Mytilus edulis: one gene and its partner. The main gene of each other region encodes a partner of the protein of the gene in region 2 in a complex. Links are inferred from orthologs where the notes say so. Each region holds a gene or a part of one and is shown on either strand. Other genes may lie near its edges. The genes, in order: inhibitor of growth protein 4-like and peregrin-like.

Region 1 (9,648 bases), on a different chromosome or scaffold from region 2:
AAAATTAAGAATCTACATACACAGTTAGATCCAGCATATCAAAGAATCTCAATTATTCAATTTTTAATGAAATCAAACAAAGTTCAATTTTGAACCCTTTGGGGCCCTTATTCCTAAAAACCTGTTGGGACCAAAACTCCCAAAATCAAACCCAACCTTCCTTTTAAGGTCATAAACCTTGTGTTTAAATTTCAAAGATTTCTATTTACTTATACTAAAGTTATGGTGCGAAAACCAAGAATAATGCTTACTTGGGCCCCTTTTTGGCCCCTAATTCCTAAACTGTTCAGACCTTAACTCCCAAAATCAATCCCAACCTTCCTTTTGTGGTCATAAACCTTGTGTTTAAATTTCATTGATTTCTATTTACTTATACTGAAGTTATTGTGCGAAAACCAAGAATAATGCTTATTAGGGCCCTTTTTTGGCCCCTAATTCCTAAACTGTTTGAACTAAAACTCCTAAAATCAATCCCAACCTTCCTTTTGTGGTCATAAACCTTGTGTAAAAATTTCATAGATTTCTATTTACTTAAACTAAAGTTATAGTGCGAATACCAAGAAAATGCTTATTTGGGCCCTTTTTGGCCCCTAATTCCTAAAATTTTGGGACCAAAACTCCCACAATCAATCCCAACCTTCTTTTTGTGGTTATAAACCTTGTGTTAAAATTTCATAGATTTCTATTCACTTAAACTAAAGTTAGAGTGCGAAAACTAAAAGTATTCGCACGACGACGACGCCAACGTGATAGCAATATATGACGAAAAATTAAAATTTTTGCGGTCGTATAAAAATTGATGAATCAAAGAATTCAACTTCATGGTTAACTATTATAGGACAAAGGTACCCGGTGTGGATTAAAAATTACACCATTTCAGAACCTTTTGTCTTCTGAATAATTAATATTACCAATAATCAACAAGTTCCGGGTTGAATCCAATACTGATACCAAAAGAATATGTCATAAGGCCATGCAAAAAGGATTGTATGTTTCCCCCAACCCTGCCGATCTGTTTTAACCCTCCGTGTCAATTCTTTTTTTCTTTTTTTTTGCAGATGAGTTGTTGACAATTATCATTGATGCTTTTTAAAAATGTCTGATAATCTCTTAAAAGTGTTTCAACATGGCTCATTCCTTCAGTTTCACATACATGTAGATTATACCACAATATACAATGTGAAACAAACATTAATTACAGGTTAACAACAAAATTCTCTGTAGAACGAAACTGATTTTTCACAAAAAAATAAAATAAAATACAAAGTTTTTCCTGCCTGCCGAGGCTTAATAATTTTCACAAGGGCCTAAGTAGTTTCAAGGCTATATTGTAGGTTCAAACAGAAAGATTTAGAAAGCCAAGTAAACACTCCTAAAAATCTGTCTGGACTCACCATTTTCAAAACTGGTGAGTCCACATATGCATCAAAATTGAAATATTTTGTATACTAAACTGAACACAGTTTAACAAAAATATCATCATTTTATAGCAAAAGTTATATATATTTCAATAAAATATTTTCTTCTTGCTTTTGGACTCATCATGGCCAAAAATGATGAGTCCCTGGACTCGCCTTGAAAAAACCTTATCGAGTATGTAATCAGTATGACTTTTATCAGATGAAAATACAAATACTTTAAAATAAGGCATTAAGGTACAAGTACATTGATTCAATCAAGACCCTGAGTGTGTTCTAGCTCTTATAATAAAGATCAGATATTCCATTTTACCTTGTGCCCTTTGATCCAAGTCTCTCATTAAATTAAAGTTTCTTTGGAGTTCACTCGGTAAAGTCTCCAAACCTATAAAAGAAAAAAAATATGAATGTTATACACAAATGAATGTAATTCAGTTGTTTTCTGTTATTGTTTAGTTCATAAATCAGGCAATTAGTTATTGTTGTTGGGATTGTTTTTACGTTTGATATTTCAGGTACTTTCTATGTAATAGTTAACTATGCAGTGTGGTTTTAGCTCATTGTAAAAGTCAAAACCTCACTGGCATAAGTATTGTCATGTTATAGATTTTACATGCACTCTTGCATACTACAGATCTGGACACAGCAAGCCCTTAAAAAATCCCCGATAGATAATACAATGTTTGCAAGTACTGATAAAATTCCTCCTTTTACCGAAGAACCCCACAAGAGTTAAAGGGTACAGACAGTTGAATCCAATACACTCCTTATTGGGATCAATGGAGATGTGTCACTAACCAGTCTTCACGACGAACTTTTAAACTACAGGCCCGGAGCTCAATTTTTGAATTTTTTTAGTTAGTTTCTGTTAGCCTGTAGATATGATTTTTACAGGCCCAAGAGCAATTTTACTAGCCTGGACTGCCACTCAGCGTGAAGACTGACTAACCTATATTTACAATTGTTTACAAGGACAATCCCCACCCCTACACATGGGGTGTGCTAGATCACTAAGAGTCTGTTATCATGGTGGAGCAAGCTGAAGTACTAGGAGATATCCCATCGGGATGCTTGGCTGAAACAGACAAACCTGAGAGATGTCAAAAGAATTTAAGATGGATCCTTAGGTCAAAGTAAGGGGCAACATTGACCAACCAAAGCCCCCAATAAACCTATTCTTGTTTAAACTCCAATCTGGGTACCAGAGAATTGTGCGGGAGGGTGAGGCCAAATAAAAATATATGTGTGGTTCCAGTTACATACTTTTAAAAAATAGGGTCGGTAGGTCAGCAATTTTTTTTTTCTTTTTTTTTTTTAATGTCAAAATCCGGAAAAGAATCGTGTGTTTACCGAAATTGTTTCCCTTATTATACACGCCCCAACCAGAAGTCCGACATTTTTACATGTGTGTGGTTGTAAAATAAACAGCCATGATACGTTTTTAGTTAATTTTGTTGCATTCTGTTATGAATTCTTGCATTTTAGCCATAACAGATACTTGTGATGGAAATTCAGATGACAGAAATCTATGAATTTAATTATTTTAATTCATAATCCTCAAAATTTGATCGTTTGAAAATTTATTTTTGAGAAATGAAAAAAAAGTTCTAGGGTCGGTTTTAACTAGGGTCGGTCGGGTTACTGGAACCACACATATATTTTTATTTGGCCTGAGAGTTACCCTTGTGAAGTTCTAAAATTTCCAGCGCCCAGAGTCAGGATAGAACCGCCACACAACAAACCCACACTTATGTTTGACATACAGTAAGCAGTTGAGGTAAGGAAGTACACAAAAATGTACTTCTTTAGCTCAGTCAGGCCATTCATTAGGAGGCGGTACCCGGTACTTTTACCCTCCTATGCTATTGACAAGTACCGCCTAAATGTAGGAATTTTTATATAAGAAATTCATGGAATAAATTGAAAAGTACCACCTAGAAATGTGGAAAGTACCAGTCAACATGAAAAATAATGAAACCCCTGCTCAGTCAGTTAACGTGGTGCTTTGTAACACAGTGGTCCAGGGTTCAAGTCTCTGTGGATACATGCAATTTTGCAAGATGAATCATGCTCTCCGGGTTCCATACCAATTAGGCAATTTCAGTCAGTAGAAGTTTCACTTTCAATATTAGAAACAGGAAATGTAGCAAGCAAGAGTGATGACTTTGTTAGCAAGATGGGAATATCTATTTCATGTTAAGATAATGCTATCAAGTTAAGATTACCAACTACCGTGACTAAGTACTGCCTCTGACTTGTGTAAACATTCATTTGAAAATTTATAAAATTGCGCCAAAAAAATATTTCGAGCTGAGCCGCTCATTCCTTCAAGAGACATCGTTTGTATCTACACTATATGCCACCTGATCATATAAATATGAATGGGGAGATTGCTGAGGAAGGTCATTTTACTCATATAATTTGTCATATATATCTGTAACTTAAACTCACTATCTAAATAGTGTTCGAGATACATCGCAGTTGCCATTTTGGAGGTTTTTGGGTTTAATTGAATCACGTGACAATCTGTGTCAATGATGAGCATATTTCCGGTTTGCTATTTGTTTTGCTTTAAAACATTTCTCTGAATCAGTTTATATATTAAAGGTTAAAGGTTATAAATGTCAGATTAGTTATTTTGGGAATTACGTAGCTAGACAAAATGCATGAGGGTCTGGTGGAGTTTTACAGAATAGAGAGGAAAATGCGATATATCCCAACTCAGAGATAGACGAACGAAACTAGAAATTTTGACAGAAAGCATTTTTTTCGACAAAAAATAAATTTAAAGGCCCATCTAAGACTCATGGGAATATCAATATCATAAAAAAACCATCATGCATATAAAATCCCATGGACATTGTGAAATTGTGGAAAGGAAATCGAATAGTATGCAATTTGAACTTTGATGTTACGAAGGTATATAATTCCGTATTATTGACAGCCTCGAACAAACTTCATCATTACCCTTCTCAACTGGACTACTCAGTGTATATACGCGTAACAATTCATGACCCAATTTCTAAACATGATATCCCCCTTTTTTTACTATATTATGCATATAGTATTGATGTTTGAAAGGGTATAGATATGAAACAGAATTTGAACTTGAACTCTGAACTGTGAACGGACTTATTATGCAAAAGATATTGCCACCGTTATTTTTTAATTTAGGAGTTACGATGAGCAATGATGAGGTGGGTTACACAGAGTATCGATCGAGTCATTCAAAGAACCCTATCTACCTCACTATCTACATACAGGCGCGGATCCAGAAGGGGGGGGGGGGGTTCCGGGGGTTGGAACCCCCCTTTTTTTTGGACGATCAATGCATTTGAATGGGGACATGTAATTGGAACTCCCCCCCCCCTTTTGTCCTGGGTTAGGAACCCCCCTTTTCAAAATGGCTGGATCTGCCCCTGTCAGACATATATGTAACATATACACACATGATGAAGATTCAGAGGAAGCCAGTGTAATGTGTAGTTCCTGTTTGGAGTGGCAACATTTATCTTGTGCTAGACTAAAACAACTTCCAAAGGCAAAGAATTGGTTTTGTAACAATTGCAAATGTTAAAGTCATGTGTCCATTTGAAATTCATAGCAAACAACTATTAATAGTGTCCGTCGTGTCTGTTTTATGATGTAGTTTTGCTTAACACTATTTTCATCACTGGCAGGATATTTAAACATTGATTTTACACAGATTTGAAAATCAACATTTTTATAAATATTTTAGAAGAAAAATAAATATATTTTAAAAATTGTTATAAAGTTCACCTCACTTTATTACCGTATCATCTGTTACAGTAATTATAATTGACAAATCAGCAACTCTCACATGTCTGCCCATTCTTAAATAAACATGTAATTAAATAGATCAATTGAAGTTCTTATACACATGTTGTCATTCTGTAGTCTGACCATCAAACGATGTACTTGTTAATAAATTAGTTATAGAAACTGGATTGTATTATTACCTATCAAAGATATTACACATTTTGGCGACGAGGAAAAAACTGGATATTAAAATAAATGTGAATTTCTACAAGTGACAATGCCGACTTACGGGAAATTAGACTCTTTTGATGAATCCGAAGATTGGACACAATATGTAGAACGTATGGAACATTATTTTAATGCTAATGAGATAGACGAAGAAGACCAGAAAAGGGATATTTTCTTAAGTGTATGTGGGAAGAATATCTACAAATTAATAAGGGATTTATTAGCACCAGCCAAACCAGGAACGAAATCATTGGCCGATTTAACAAAACTAGTGAAAGACCACCGAGATCCAGTACCATCAGAAATCATTCAGAGATTTAAATTTAACAGTAGAACAAGACACAGTGATGAGTCAGTTAGGACATTTATTGCAGCACTACGAAGTCTGACAGAACACTGTAATTATGGTGACACGTTGAATGCGATGTTACGTGACAGGTTAGTCGTCGGGATAAAGAGTGACCGCATACAGAGGAGGCTGCTAGCAGAGCCGAATTTAACATTTGATAAGGCATTGGAAATTGCTACCGCTATGGAGACTGCAGAGAAGAATGCACAGGACATCCAAGCGAGTGGGACAAATGGAACATTTCAGAAACAAATCAATAAAGTTTCAAAATCATATACAAGAAACAACTCTGGAAATTCGAAACAAGGAGATTGTTACCGGTGTGGAGGAAATCACTTAGCCGCTGAATGCAGGTTTAAGGATGCAAAATGCCACAGCTGTAAAAAGAAAGGACATATCGCAAAGAAATGCCGTAACAAATCTACCAATGGGAATTTAAGTGAAAACCACAGAGAGTTTAAATCACGTTTCAAACCACGTGCTCATTTCATGGAGCAGGATGAAAGTAGCGAAAGTGAAAGTGAAAATGAAGTTTACTCAGTTTTTCATTTTGGAAATAAAACTAATGAGGCATATAAAGTGCAAATCAATGTAAATGAATGTGAAATAGCCATGGAAATAGATACCGGAGCGTCCGTTTCTATCATGAGCGAGGATACTTACAAGGAATACAAGTCGAAATTCAAAATCGAACCGACAAGTGCTAAACTCCGAACATACATGGGAGAGCAGATTCCTATAATAGGACGTGCAATCGTCAATGTCAACTACAAGAAGGAAAGTGCAAAATTACCATTACTGATAGTGAAGCGTAAAGGTCCGAATTTACTAGGCCGAGACTCACGGGTGTCATTCGGTTTATCGAGAGAAATGATCGTGAAAGAATATCTAACGGCGGTCAAGTATTGAGAGACGATCGTGAAAGTTTTGGTAACGGATCGTGAAAGACATTTAATGTACATTCTAGTTCAGAATCTTTGAAAAAATCGCTTAATTTTCAAAAAGCGGAACAAATCCGAACAAAAAAATATTTCTGTCAAAATGGTTTAACTTCCTCAACATAACTGTGAAAGAAGATAAAGAAAATATGAAGTACTTTTTGAAAAAACACAAAAGGCGCAATGCGTGTCTATGAAATTAATTACAAATAAAACGCTTTTTGTACCTATAATGGTCATATTTCAGAATATCATGATATATTTGAAATTTAATCTTTGGTGTATCTGATAGTACAGTAAAATTAAAGTATGTTCTTCCATTAAAAGCGTTAATTTGTTTATGAAAACCTTGAATTTGTTGAATTTCCATCAAACTTGATCGTGAAAGATCAGGCAACGTATTATTTCGATCGTGAAAGAAAATGCGTGACCAGACTTAATACTAGTAATCAGAAATCAGTATTTCTTTTACCATTTGATAAATCTGCAAGTGGTTGAAGCCTGTAACTATTTTGATAAGGATGAATATTAAAGCTATTATCTTTTTTTCTATTCAACACTTTACCTCGAAAGTTAAAAAAAAACCAAAACTAATAACGTGTCTTAATAAGTGTGAAAGATTCAGCTCTGTGAATCGGTCTAGTGCACTTCAGGCAGACCGACACTAGTTAGCCAATAATATGGATATGCAACGTTTAAACCAAAATGTTATCCATCAAACAAAAAATCATAGCAAAAACAGCACATTTCATGTGTAATTTTGGATTGAACGATAACCAACATTTTGCGCAACAGAACTTTTATAAACAACGCAGATAAGGATTGATTTAACTATATAGTACATACTATAGAATACCAAAGCGCAAATGCTGTAATGTCTTGTTTGCTTTACTTATGATAGTATATTTGTTGAACGTCTATAATATCAAGGGTTTTACTAGAAGTGTCAAATGCGCTTAAGATTGTCAATATTTCATAAAAAAGGTCAAGGTCAAATGAACCATGCCATACAGATCTCTACAAATATCCCGTACGCCAAATAAATGTGTTTCCGCTCCTTACAGTGCCTTAAAAACTGACAAATGTAAAAGTTATGCTTGGCCAATTAATTCGGAACATAAGGTCAAAAGTATATGAACCCTGACCGTCAGCCAGACATAGACATCTTACTATCATTTAATAAATCAAACACAATTGAAGTCATCATGGTCATATAAGAAACATGCACACAGACATGTACACCATACACGACACACCTTGTCGCTATAGCATACAGGTATACATTCAAAAAGCCCAACAACATATATTAAGACAAACATTGCCGAATGATGCAGGATAATGAGTTCAATGTTAGTTGAAACCTTGCACAAGTCGAAAATATACACCTTACAATCATAACAACAGACAGTTATCCTAAAGCTTAACGAATCCTCGATACGGACATGACCACTAAAATGAATCTTCATCCATGAAATGAGGCAAATTCAGGGTCAGGTGAATCCTGTCTGACGGACATTAAGTTTATAGGATCCAATATACAAAATATGGGTATCCTATAACTCATGATAAGTGAGTACTTCACATGACAATAAAAAAAACTTCATCCTACAATCATCCAACTATTTTACAAACAACATATTCACAAATGCCCAAATAATAATTTTAGTGTATTTGCGCGTCTGGCGTACTAAATTATAATCCTAGTACCTTTTGATAACTATTTATACCACTGGGGCGATGCCATTGCGTTTGAATTTTTCGAAAAACTAAGGATTACCATAGTCGTATTTGGTATGTAACTTTTTGGAATTTTTGATCCTCCATGCTCTTCAACTTTCTACTTGTTTGGCTTAACAAATATTTTTTATATTGAAGGTGTTGACCTATCTAGCCTTTCTCAATACCAATAACAAATATCAATTATCATATAATGGAAGAATAATTTGAACGTCTTCGTAGCATCAGATCTTTCACGATCCTTTTCACGATCTTCAAAAATGCGGTACGTGATCTTTCACGATCCAAAAAATCAATTTTGTGTAAATAGTTCTTTATTTACCAAGTTTCAGATTATATTTATACAAAATAACTATGAGAACCGTTTAATTAATTTAAATACAATACCCTTATTCTGATAAACGTAGTTTATCTAGTCGAATTTGTGAAAAAATCGTGTTTGTTTACATTTTTTATGTCATTGAAATGTCGAGAAGCAATATGCCTTTTGTCGTTTTGTAATAACTATGTACTTTTGAAACTGGATATTCTGACATACTGATCATAATGTTGAACCATTTTGACAGACAGTTTTATTTTGTCGCAAATGTGTCTGTGTAATTAAATAAATTAGAATATTTACTAACGTTTCATATGTCTTCTCGATTAAATGTCTTTCACGATCCGTTACCAGAACTTTCACGATCGTCTCTCAATACTTGACCGCCGTCAGATATTCTTTCACGATCATTTCTCTCGATAAACCGAATGACACCCGTGAGACTGGTTGAACAAACTCCAACTGGATTGGAAGGATATTTTCTCCGTCGTTGGAAGTGACAATCAATCGAGGGATTTAAATGTGATCTTGGAAGCAAATAAGGAGGTTTTCAAAGATGAACTTGGAACTGTAAAAGGCATGAAAGCAAAAATTTATGTCGATGAGAGTGCCGTACCGAAATATTTCAAGGCTCGCCCTTTGCCGTATGCGTTGAAGGATAAAGTGGAGATGGAACTTGAACGTCTTGAGAAGGAGGGTCAGATTCAGCAAGTGGAATTTTCCGACTGGGCCGCTCCGATAGTACCTGTAGTTAAGGAGAACGGATCTATTAGAATTTGTGGTGACTACAAGGTAACCGTTAATGCCGTTTCAAAGTTGGATAATTATCCTATTCCTAAAACTGATGATTTATACGCAACGCTTGGAGGAGGACAAGAA
Region 2 (10,195 bases):
AAGTCACATGAAATGCAGTATAACAGTTTGTTTTGTGGCACTGAATGCATGCCCCAGTCCCTCTCTGTTTACAAATATAACATGATAACCGCCATCGTGCAGGAGGAATTCTCTCCATACTATCTATGGGCTCTAAAAACACTGTGTTTGCAAACCCTACTTCAGGTATCCATAATGCACATACCACATGAGCCCATTTTCCATCATCAGTTTGTTTGAAAGCACCGCCCTTATTTGGACATAGACAACAATCAACTGCTCGAGAGGGAGACTGAAGACACCGCCTACACAACCATTGTCCTTCAGGAATATATGGAACACCATAACATTCCTGGTGCACAGCCAAGTTACACATGTCACAAAATAAAATCACATTACTATTTTGACATTCACCATCCATACAAATACTACAAACAGCATCTTCATCAATAGGAGGACCAATATCCTTTCCGGAGGACTGACTTTGGAAAAATGCTTCTTTTTCAAATCTGTCCATTAAAAGTTCAAAATCTGCTTGATTTACCAGAGTAAGTCCATCTGTTTCTCTCTTTTTGTTCAACAGTTCCAACCATGCATGATCCTGAAAAAAATATAAAATATCCTAAGCATTGATGTTTACTTTACAGCAATTTTTCAATAAAATTTACATGGGTTGAATGAATGGGCCAATATAACTTGATAACTACATGTACATGTAAGTGACAAACTGAAATTTTATTCAAAATTTTCAATGGGAGACAATTTTTTAATACATTTTGTAGCTTGATTGAGCTAATATTGATCATGAATATATATAGCAAGATAAAGCTACATATGTACATGTACATGAGCTCAAACTGCATATATGTAGCGTATATAGTTCAGGACTCAGGAGCCTGTAATTCAGTGGTTGTTGTTTGTTGCTATGTTACATATTTGTTTACTTTCATTATTTTTACATAAATTAGGCCATTTGTTTGAATTGTTTTACATTTTGGGGCCTTTTAAAGCTGACTATGTGGCATGGGCTTTGCTCATTGTTGAAGGCTGTACGGTGACATAATATGTTAATTTCTGTGTCATTTGGTCTCTTGTGAAGAGTTGTTTCATTGGCAATCATACCACACCTTCTTTTGTAGAACCTGAGTAAAAGTAAAATATAAGGTAGACAATTATACATTGTAGGTACAAATTAGGGAAAGATGATAAATATACATGTAGATAGCAGATATAGATGCATAATTCTTTATTCTAAGATACTATTTCATCAAAATCATATGTACATCTTTGTTATTGCAATATCTCTTATAAATTGTTAATGACCTCAGATAGTAAATTTTCTTGTCTAGAAAGTTTACTCACCTCTTCATCCATATCATACTCCACTTCATCATCCAACTCATCTGTAGATTTTTCAATATAACGATAATATGAGTTTGGCCTTGGTTTAGGATTAGTTGGCTTGATATAATTGTCTACAATCTTAAACTGTGCCTCTGGTAATTTACCGTCATTGTTTCTATCAGCAGGTGCTGGTGTTTCTTTGTTTTTAGTTTTGTTCTTATCTGTATGCTGCTTAGTTACTTTGGGGACTTTCTCTGCTTTCTCTTCCTTTTCTTTATTACTCTGGTTATCGATCTGATCTTGAGATATAATTTCCAAAGGCTCATATATATTTATCCTATGAATCCTACCATCAACATCAATTTCCACCAGTCTTTGTGATTCAGCATAGGTTAGAGTCTCCAGTCTTGGAGCTGGTTTAACAAATTCTGGTGGAGTGGGAGATCTACGCATTGATCTGTGATGGCCCCATCTTCCCTTCTTCTTACCAGGTTTTTTACCAGTTGGAGTAGGACTGTTATTCTCTGGGTTATCATGATCATAATTATAAAGATGAAACTGAATACCACAATAACTTTTATACACTTTACCACAGTCTTTAACCGGACATTCATAAGGTGGTTTAGTGGCCTTCAAGTTTTGACAAAAATCTCTGACATCAAAATCATACACCATTCTGATGAAATTCCTACACCATTTCAAGTCTAAAATAAAGAAAATATACAATTATGTATGGTAATTATAAAAATCTTCTGTGCATGCCAATTACTAGATTACAGTTATTTCAGAGTTTGTCAAATATTTGCTCAAGTCTGGCTGAAATTTCACTCTGTGAAAAGTGTTTTAATCATTTATTTTACAATCCAGATACAGTTATTCTAAAGCCTACATTGTTATATAGCTAAATGTTTTGTTTTATCAATGAAGCAGGAAAATGGTTTAGCAGGGTCCTTAAGTATACATTGTAATACTTTGTGTCACAGTAAATATACATTGTAGATTCTACCACTGTATCAAGAAGTGTGATACAATTATTTATCCACTTACAACATTTAAATTTCAAATGCAAAACGTGAGGCTTGTTGTGCATCTAAAATTTTAACTGTTGAGAGTTGATAAATATTGTATTGCATGAGTTTTGGTGTTGTAATATCTTTCTCTTATGCAGACAATATTAATCCTTCTTTTTGAAAGACCTGCAAAAAGATGTGTTCTTTTTGTGTAACATTGTCAGACATGGTCACCTTTTTTTCAATAGGAAAGCAAGAAAATTTTAACCAAAAAAGAACTGATTCATGAAGGCTTTTTCCAAATTTGAAAATCTGTTCCACTAAAACTTTTGACATCAGTTATCATACAACAATCACTTTTTCATTGTGACATCAAATATTTTCTATTTTAAGACATCAAATAAAATTAACGGTATCAATTTTCTTGCACCAGATGCGCATTTCGACAATACATGTCTCTTCAGTGATGCTCGTGGCCAAAATATTTGAAATCCAAAGCTTATATAAAAGATGAAGAGCTATAATCCAAAAGGTCCAAAAAGTATAGCCAAATCCGTGAAAGGAATCAGAGCTTTGCATGAGGGAGATACATTCCTTAATTTATAATAATTTCTATCATTTTGTAACAGCAAATTTTAATAACATTATATTACGGGGAAGTTGTGTGATGTCCAGTAATGGCAGACAAAAGCTATACGGTGTATGGACTGCATCGTAACTCATTGACACTCAAGGATTTCTATTTTTATTCATTTTTCCATACCAAATCTAAATGAAAAAGTTAACATATCATATTATTGTTAAAAACCAATGATTGTTAAATAACTAATGTGAACAACTCAGATTCACCCAGCAAAACTATTTCATCGTGTCCATCATTTGTACCAAATTTAAATTTGTTATGATTTGTCCATGTCGGTTAAAAGCTCATTAGAGCTTATGTTTGTCTATGTTTTATATACCATGCCGACTCTAAATAAAGCTTATTTATTATTATTTATTTATTATTATTAACATTGCCATTTAAATGTTTTATATTTATATGTCATATACAATGTATATGAACAGAAGTAATTTTTGAAACTCATAGTCAAGCTTCTTAACTTGCAAAAAAGAGGGGAAAAGATAAGGTTATAAATGAAGTCATCAATATCATAAGAAATTTGACTACGTCCTTCTTTTTACAGATGTAAACAAAAAAGTTGAACCAGTTTCCGGTTTCGGGACTACAACTTAAAACCAAATTGTAAGCAGTTTTGCGATATCTACCTCATAATTCACAACGATGAGAATAAATTACGTCTATATTAACATTATACATTATCTGATATGCAGCCAACAACAGCCTGTTACAACAAGTCAAATCGACACCGACGCCGCAGCTCATGGATCGATTGTGGGCAGACAATGAAATCGGTGAATTGATTAAATTTCGATGAATTACTGAAAATTTACAATATAAAACTGATACGAATTGTTTCCTTTGTTCATTTTCAACCAGAACATTTATGTCTGCGTTGGTATCATTGTGTATGCTATGTGAAAATAAGTGAAATAACAAACCTCAACAGTGCGTCCTCTTCGTTTGGCCAAGCAAGCATATGCGCATATGATGTTGCGCAGCCCATTTCCGTTTTTCATATTTCCTAAAAGTTTAAAGCGGGAATTTTATAAAAAAAAATCATAGATCATAAGAATCACAATGATTGCAACGATTCTTTAATATCATCGTATATACATGTATATTACAGTAATATACAAATTATTGTTTTTTGGAAAAGGGGGGGGGGGGGGGGGGGGGGTAACTGTTTTTGCCAAAATCGAGGTGTTGTTAACATGTTAATTAGTGGACCCCATATCCCCTTCTCATTATATGTATATGATTTTATCTATGTATGAGACCCGGCCGGCACTGATCATGTGACCATGGACATCATTAATCCATGTATTCAGGGGTAGATTTAGGATCAACTGACCTACGACTTTGATTTTAAAGTTTCTATAAATATTATCAGAAGTCCATATTAGGGGTCATATTATACACTTCAAAGGAAGGTGTCAAACGCAGTCCTTCGTTTGAAGACACATATTATAGGCCGTTTTTAGCAGTTAAAGTAAAACAATTGTAACATTGTATTTGCGGTTTTTATAATCAATTTGATTTTCTTTGATAATCGAACTTCCAAACTGCCATCCCTTACTCACTTTCACAATTTTATCATGGCACGGCCAAGAAAACAGTCCAAGTTAGATTCTTTCTTAATATCCTAAATGAAAGATAGAACACTGTTTCAAGCGAACAGTTAGTTTATTAATTTTAATCTCCGGTCTATGTCTATATACATTTCTCATTTGCAACCTAAAATTTTTGCAGAATTATTATATATATGTACCGTATTACGTACATGCATGGGATCCCAAGAAAATAAACATAACTTCGTAAATTATGCTTCACATTCTAGTTTTAGCGAATACAGTATATATAAAGTGTGACACGACCTCCGAAAATAATAACAAAAAAAACCCAGATATAATATAAGGACAATTTAAATTGGAAATTTTCGTTTGCAAAATCTAATACTATCTTTGGTTATGGGGCTATTGTGATCTGTCTCGTCTCACTTTGCGTCCGTCGGTCGGTCCGTCCGTCTATCTGTCAACGCCGGCTTCACATTTCCATCGTCTGAGCCGCCAAGTTTGGCAGGGCTGGTGTTATGGAGTGTGAAAGTAATTCTTTAGTTAACCTGTTTCATTTCACATTATTGAAAGCATGTACAATTGGCTTAGACACATTAACGATGTGCAAAACAAGGGTTTTTTGGGGGATTTTTTTTGTGGTGCTTCTATATATATCTCTTTATGTCACAACTACTAGCACCTTGCCTTTCGAGGTTTATATAGTTCAGATGTCAGCTGATATTGCTGTATAGATAATTTTACAACAATTAAGTGTTGGTGTCTTGAAATTGTAGATTGGTTTGCATAGGAACACATAATCAAAATAAAATGTACACATGATCTTCAGCTTCTGTTTGGGACTGCAGCTTTATAAACTCATATGGCAATATGAATCTCTTAGTGCGTAAGTTAGAGGTAGTATACCTGACATAATATAATGACTTCACAGTTCAGCTAACAAACAAGTTAACCACAGATATAGCCTTGTCTACACACTCAATGAAATCGGCTGTAAATAGAAATCGAAAAAAGACATAAAAGCTTATGGCTAAAATGAAAGGTCCGAACAGAAATCTAAAGTCTACAAAACACAACACAACACGGAAAACAAAGATTGAGCAACACAAACCCCACCAAACACCGCAGTTGCACTAAGATGCTCTTGAATTCTAAGCAGTTTCTGGTTCAACCAAGAAACTAACGCCCTGGAATAATGTATCAACATGGAGATATTGATATAGATTCATGAAATTGGGAAATGAAAATGACAAAGGATAAATTGAAATACTAGTTATCTCTTTGTCGTGCAATTTAGTTCGCAACTGACCGTTACTGACATGACATTTTCTCGATGCTAGTCAATAGATGATGTGGACCTAACTACGTGTGTGGAATGCTTTGTTTCAAGTTCGGTTGGACGGATTACTAGTGAGAAAACATCATCCATATATACGAAAAGTGAAGTTAAAGGATATACCTGCAATAGCTTTTTTTTTCATTCTCATGAAGAAAAAAAACATTTATGAATTCTGTCTCACATAAAAATAATAGGACACATGCATCACTTAAGAAGATGCCCGTGTGTTAGTGTTTGTTCTCTTGGAATGCGATCGTCATTTAAACCACTTTCATGCATCAAACGAAACGAGTATGCTGCCAAAGAGTGGTGAAACGGAAACCAAAAGGATATTCAAACGCAAAAGTGGGAAATATACTGATAACGACATGACTAAAAAAAGCAAAGATAAACAGACAAAAAATAGTACATAAAACACAAAATAGAAAACTAAAAACTGAGCAACACGAGAGAAGAACATAAATTGCTACTAACGCAAGTTTGGATGTGAAACATTTTTGGTCACAGTCGAGACGAATTATATATAAATTATGGTATTCCACGAGTTATCCGATGGAGAAGCATGTCTGTCGTAAAGTTGTCATATATTTGAACGTATATACATAAAGTTGTCCCAAATGATATCTTATTAAAAAAAATCATAGCTAACATTCCATAATATTGTGAGTCAAGTTATTGTGTAACAGGGACACCAACGTAAAAAGTAATCAAAAACAAAGAAAAACAGATAAGACAACAAGAGTAATTCATGTGTTCTGACAAAGTAACTGTGATAGTCTAGAGTGCGAGATGTCGATCGTGGATTCAATACCCTATCGATTCAAATTAACTTTAATGTGGCATTAAGTAGAAATACAAGCAAATACTGTTCGATTTGGAGTCGATCTAACATTCGTGTAATATTTGCCACCGGACGTTTTGGTGTGTAAACAAAGACTTGTTATAATTCCAAAATTGAGAATGGAAATGGGGAATTTATCAAAGACAACAACCCAACCAAAGAGCAGACAACATGCTTGTCACCATTGGCAATTGAATTATAGTTTGAACGACGCGGGATTTCAACATGGATAGTGATACGCTTCCGTAGATATTTTTTTAATTTTCTATCAACTCTTAACAAGTAAATTGATATATGAATTTGTGACTTTAATCGTGTACCACTTGTATTTTTTAAGAATTTGGTTTTCTTCCATTCTCGGGTTATTATGAATGCAGATTTTGTACCCACATCTGTCAAAAGTAACCACACTTCTCATTAATAAACAGTGAGACATTTCATCTAAGTTTGGAAGTTTTTTATTATCTTATTTTTCATTTGAGATCATCTAACCATAAACACGTTTGGAGAGCACTCTAAATTCTGCTGATTACCACATTAACGAGTGAAGGATGTGAGAAGAGACTGTCGTGATATACCCAATTACATCAAATATGGATCAATGATCTCATTTCAAACTTAAATATGATATGCGATATACCTGTTATTACATTTTACTCGTTACACAGCAAATAGACATAAATCCTTGTTGACGTCATCACAATACAACGATTTTATATTTCCGTAAACAGAAAAGACCTCCTCTGATTTTGATTTGCATCATCGTACTCTCCTAGTTGCTTTGTTTATCACTCTATGAGGGAGGGGGTATTCAGGGTCATCTATGTATAATTAAAATTAACTGGTGTACCTCGAAATGAACATACATGATATATTTGCCACTGAACGAAAAGAAAACTATGTCTGCTCTTATATCAAACAATCCAATTAAAACCCTTTTTGATATGACATTAAAGTCAAAGTATCCGGCTCGTCAAACCATTAATTGGACTTCTCTATAATTTGAAGTCGCCGGCCTAGATATGTGCGTGAAATATTAACCACTGGACAATCAGTAACTGTTAAACATCTGAAGGTCATTGATCATAAATGATGAAAAGGAAATGAAAAAATACTGCAAACCTGAGCAAACAAAACTTCAAATAGAATATGAATTCTATGTTATTTACTTGTAAGAACGTGTAACAATTTGAACTTACTAACAAGGGGTACATTCGCGATTGCAGAGAGGTATATTTTCTTCGGATTTGTCACAAGTTAGTTAGGTGACAAATTAGTCGATGATGCTTAATTTCTATTGGAAATCAGAAGCGGAAAAATCAGCATTCATGACCCTGTGTGTTATTCAAACAAATCGTTTTGATTAATAATGTTGGTAAAAAATGCAGAAAAACATATGTCTCGATAGTTCGTAACACGAAAATAAAGTGGTTATCTCCCTTTTACTGTGATACATTTAAAAAAAATATGAAGACAGTATTAAACACATATCACAAGACCTATTTTAAAGTTCCAAAGTGACATTACAACTAGATACTTAACATTAAGACAATTATCATTAAATCTCATTTCTTGCTTTGTTATGGTTTTGTTTTATTAAAAGTTTTCTTCATTACTAATCCGTTTCATCATACAAATTTAAAGTTGGTTTAGACAGGAGTAATATTTTGTATATTTAAAAAAAAAGACTAAGTACTTTCTCGGATTAAGTGGTGCTTTTATATTATAACTTTCACTATATAGAATCATATTATCAGATCTTTCTCTTCGATACTTTTTTAAATGGTCCAACAGGACAAATGGATGTAAATCCAAACTCCTGCAATCCTCTTCTATATACGCCAACTGTTTTATCAGACTTCGTCAACCAAAGCTAAGTATTTTCGAGTTGGTTTATTTTATTGTCATTTTAGATCGACTTTTTCGTTTTCGTTTAAAGACGAATTTTCTTTGTAAATCATAAATTGGTAGACGTTACAAGTAACATATAAACGCCTAATGAGGGCCAAAATGAAATAATATATCTGAAAGATTAAACAGTGCTTTTCTTCAGACACACTTTGTGTTAACGAGGGGGAAGTGTAATGGGTATTAAATTTTTTAACAAATATTCAACTCTACACAAAAATTTGAGTGTTGTTATATCAATATCAGAAGTAGAGTGACCGACATTAAATCATTAAGCCTCGGTCACACCTTACCGGATAACACGAACGGACGCCTAACGGATGAAAATAAATGTTGTCCGTTGACAAAATTGTTATCCGTTGGGAGTCCGTTGATGTACTGACCGAATAAAACGGACGTGTAATGAATGCCTAACGGACACACACCGGATATGCAACGTACGAGAAACGGAAACGTACCGGACAGAACGGATGTCGAACGTACATCCAACGGACGAGTACCGCATAAAACGGACACCTAACGGAAGCGTACCGGATAAAACGGACCATTAAGATATACGGAAAAATTAAAGGCGACAATAATAATACATGTAAATCGCATTAATATTCAAAATGTTTCTGTGTACATGGTTTTGGTTTGTTCTTCAAAATGCCGCCAATGGACAATGTATGGCCTGGATAAGAGCAGCTTGACTGTGAAGACGTGCCCTTACTTTAAGACCGATTATGAATAATGAAAGTTTATGAACCTTAATAAATCTGACATACCGATAATTGTCATTTCTGACGCGAAATTTTCAATTGACATTTATCCGTTTCAGATCCGTTATACGTCCGGTAGAAGTCCGTTTCTCATTCGTTGAACATCCGTTTTATCCGTTAAACAACCGGTAGAAGTCCGTTGGGGAAATTATCTTTCAGACCTCCAATGGATGTATAACGGACACGTAACGGATACAAAACGGACACCAAACGGACGAGTACCGTACAAAACGGACGCCTAACGGACGTTCAACGGACATTTTATCCGTTGGACGTCCGTTCAAAGTTTTGAACATGCTCAAAATTTTCCACCGGACAGAACGGACGCCGACGGATAAAACGTACGCTTAACGGACATGCAACGGATATGGACGGACGTCTAACGGATAAGAACGGACGTCTAACGGACATGAACGGATTGAAAAAAAGTTATCCGTTAGGCGTCCGTTCGAGCTATCCGGTAAGGTGTTACCGAGGCTTTAGGAAACAACTGTACATGAAGATTAAGTACTGCGAGCTTGATTTCATGCAGTTAATATGATATAAAAAAGAAGACGTGGTATGATTGCTAATGAGACAACCCTCCACAAGAGACCACCTCCACAAGAGACCATAAGACACAGAAATTAACAAAAATATATAGGTCACCGTACGGCCTTCAACATTGAGCAAAGCCCATACCGCATAGTCAGCTATACAAGGCCCCGAAATGACAAATGTACATCAATTCAACCGAGAAAACTAACGGCCTAATTTATGTACAAAAAATTAACGAAAAACAAATATGTAACACATCAACAAGACATCCACTGAATTA

What was found.
Region 1: peregrin-like (region 2) and inhibitor of growth protein 4-like share a complex: the UniProt entries of both Drosophila melanogaster proteins name them as parts of the enok complex. The link is inferred for Mytilus edulis from reciprocal best matches to the Drosophila melanogaster genes Br140 and Ing5.

What each region holds. Positions count from the first base shown.
Region 1 is NC_092356.1:22,468,845-22,478,492, forward strand, and holds the start of inhibitor of growth protein 4-like, read right to left. Parts: upstream 3,959-9,648; 5' UTR 3,907-3,958; coding exon 3,870-3,906; intron 1,804-3,869; coding exon 1,732-1,803; intron 1-1,731. Other genes in the region: uncharacterized protein, read left to right, coding at 5,476-6,684. UniProt on the Drosophila melanogaster protein: Component of the Enok complex which has a histone H3 acetyltransferase activity.
Region 2 is NC_092344.1:104,015,229-104,025,423, forward strand, and holds the start of peregrin-like, read right to left. Parts: upstream 3,986-10,195; 5' UTR 3,897-3,985; intron 2,028-3,896; 5' UTR 1,999-2,027; coding exon 1,342-1,998; intron 581-1,341; coding exon 1-580. UniProt on the Drosophila melanogaster protein: Scaffold subunit of the histone acetyltransferase (HAT) Enok complex which has histone H3 acetyltransferase activity.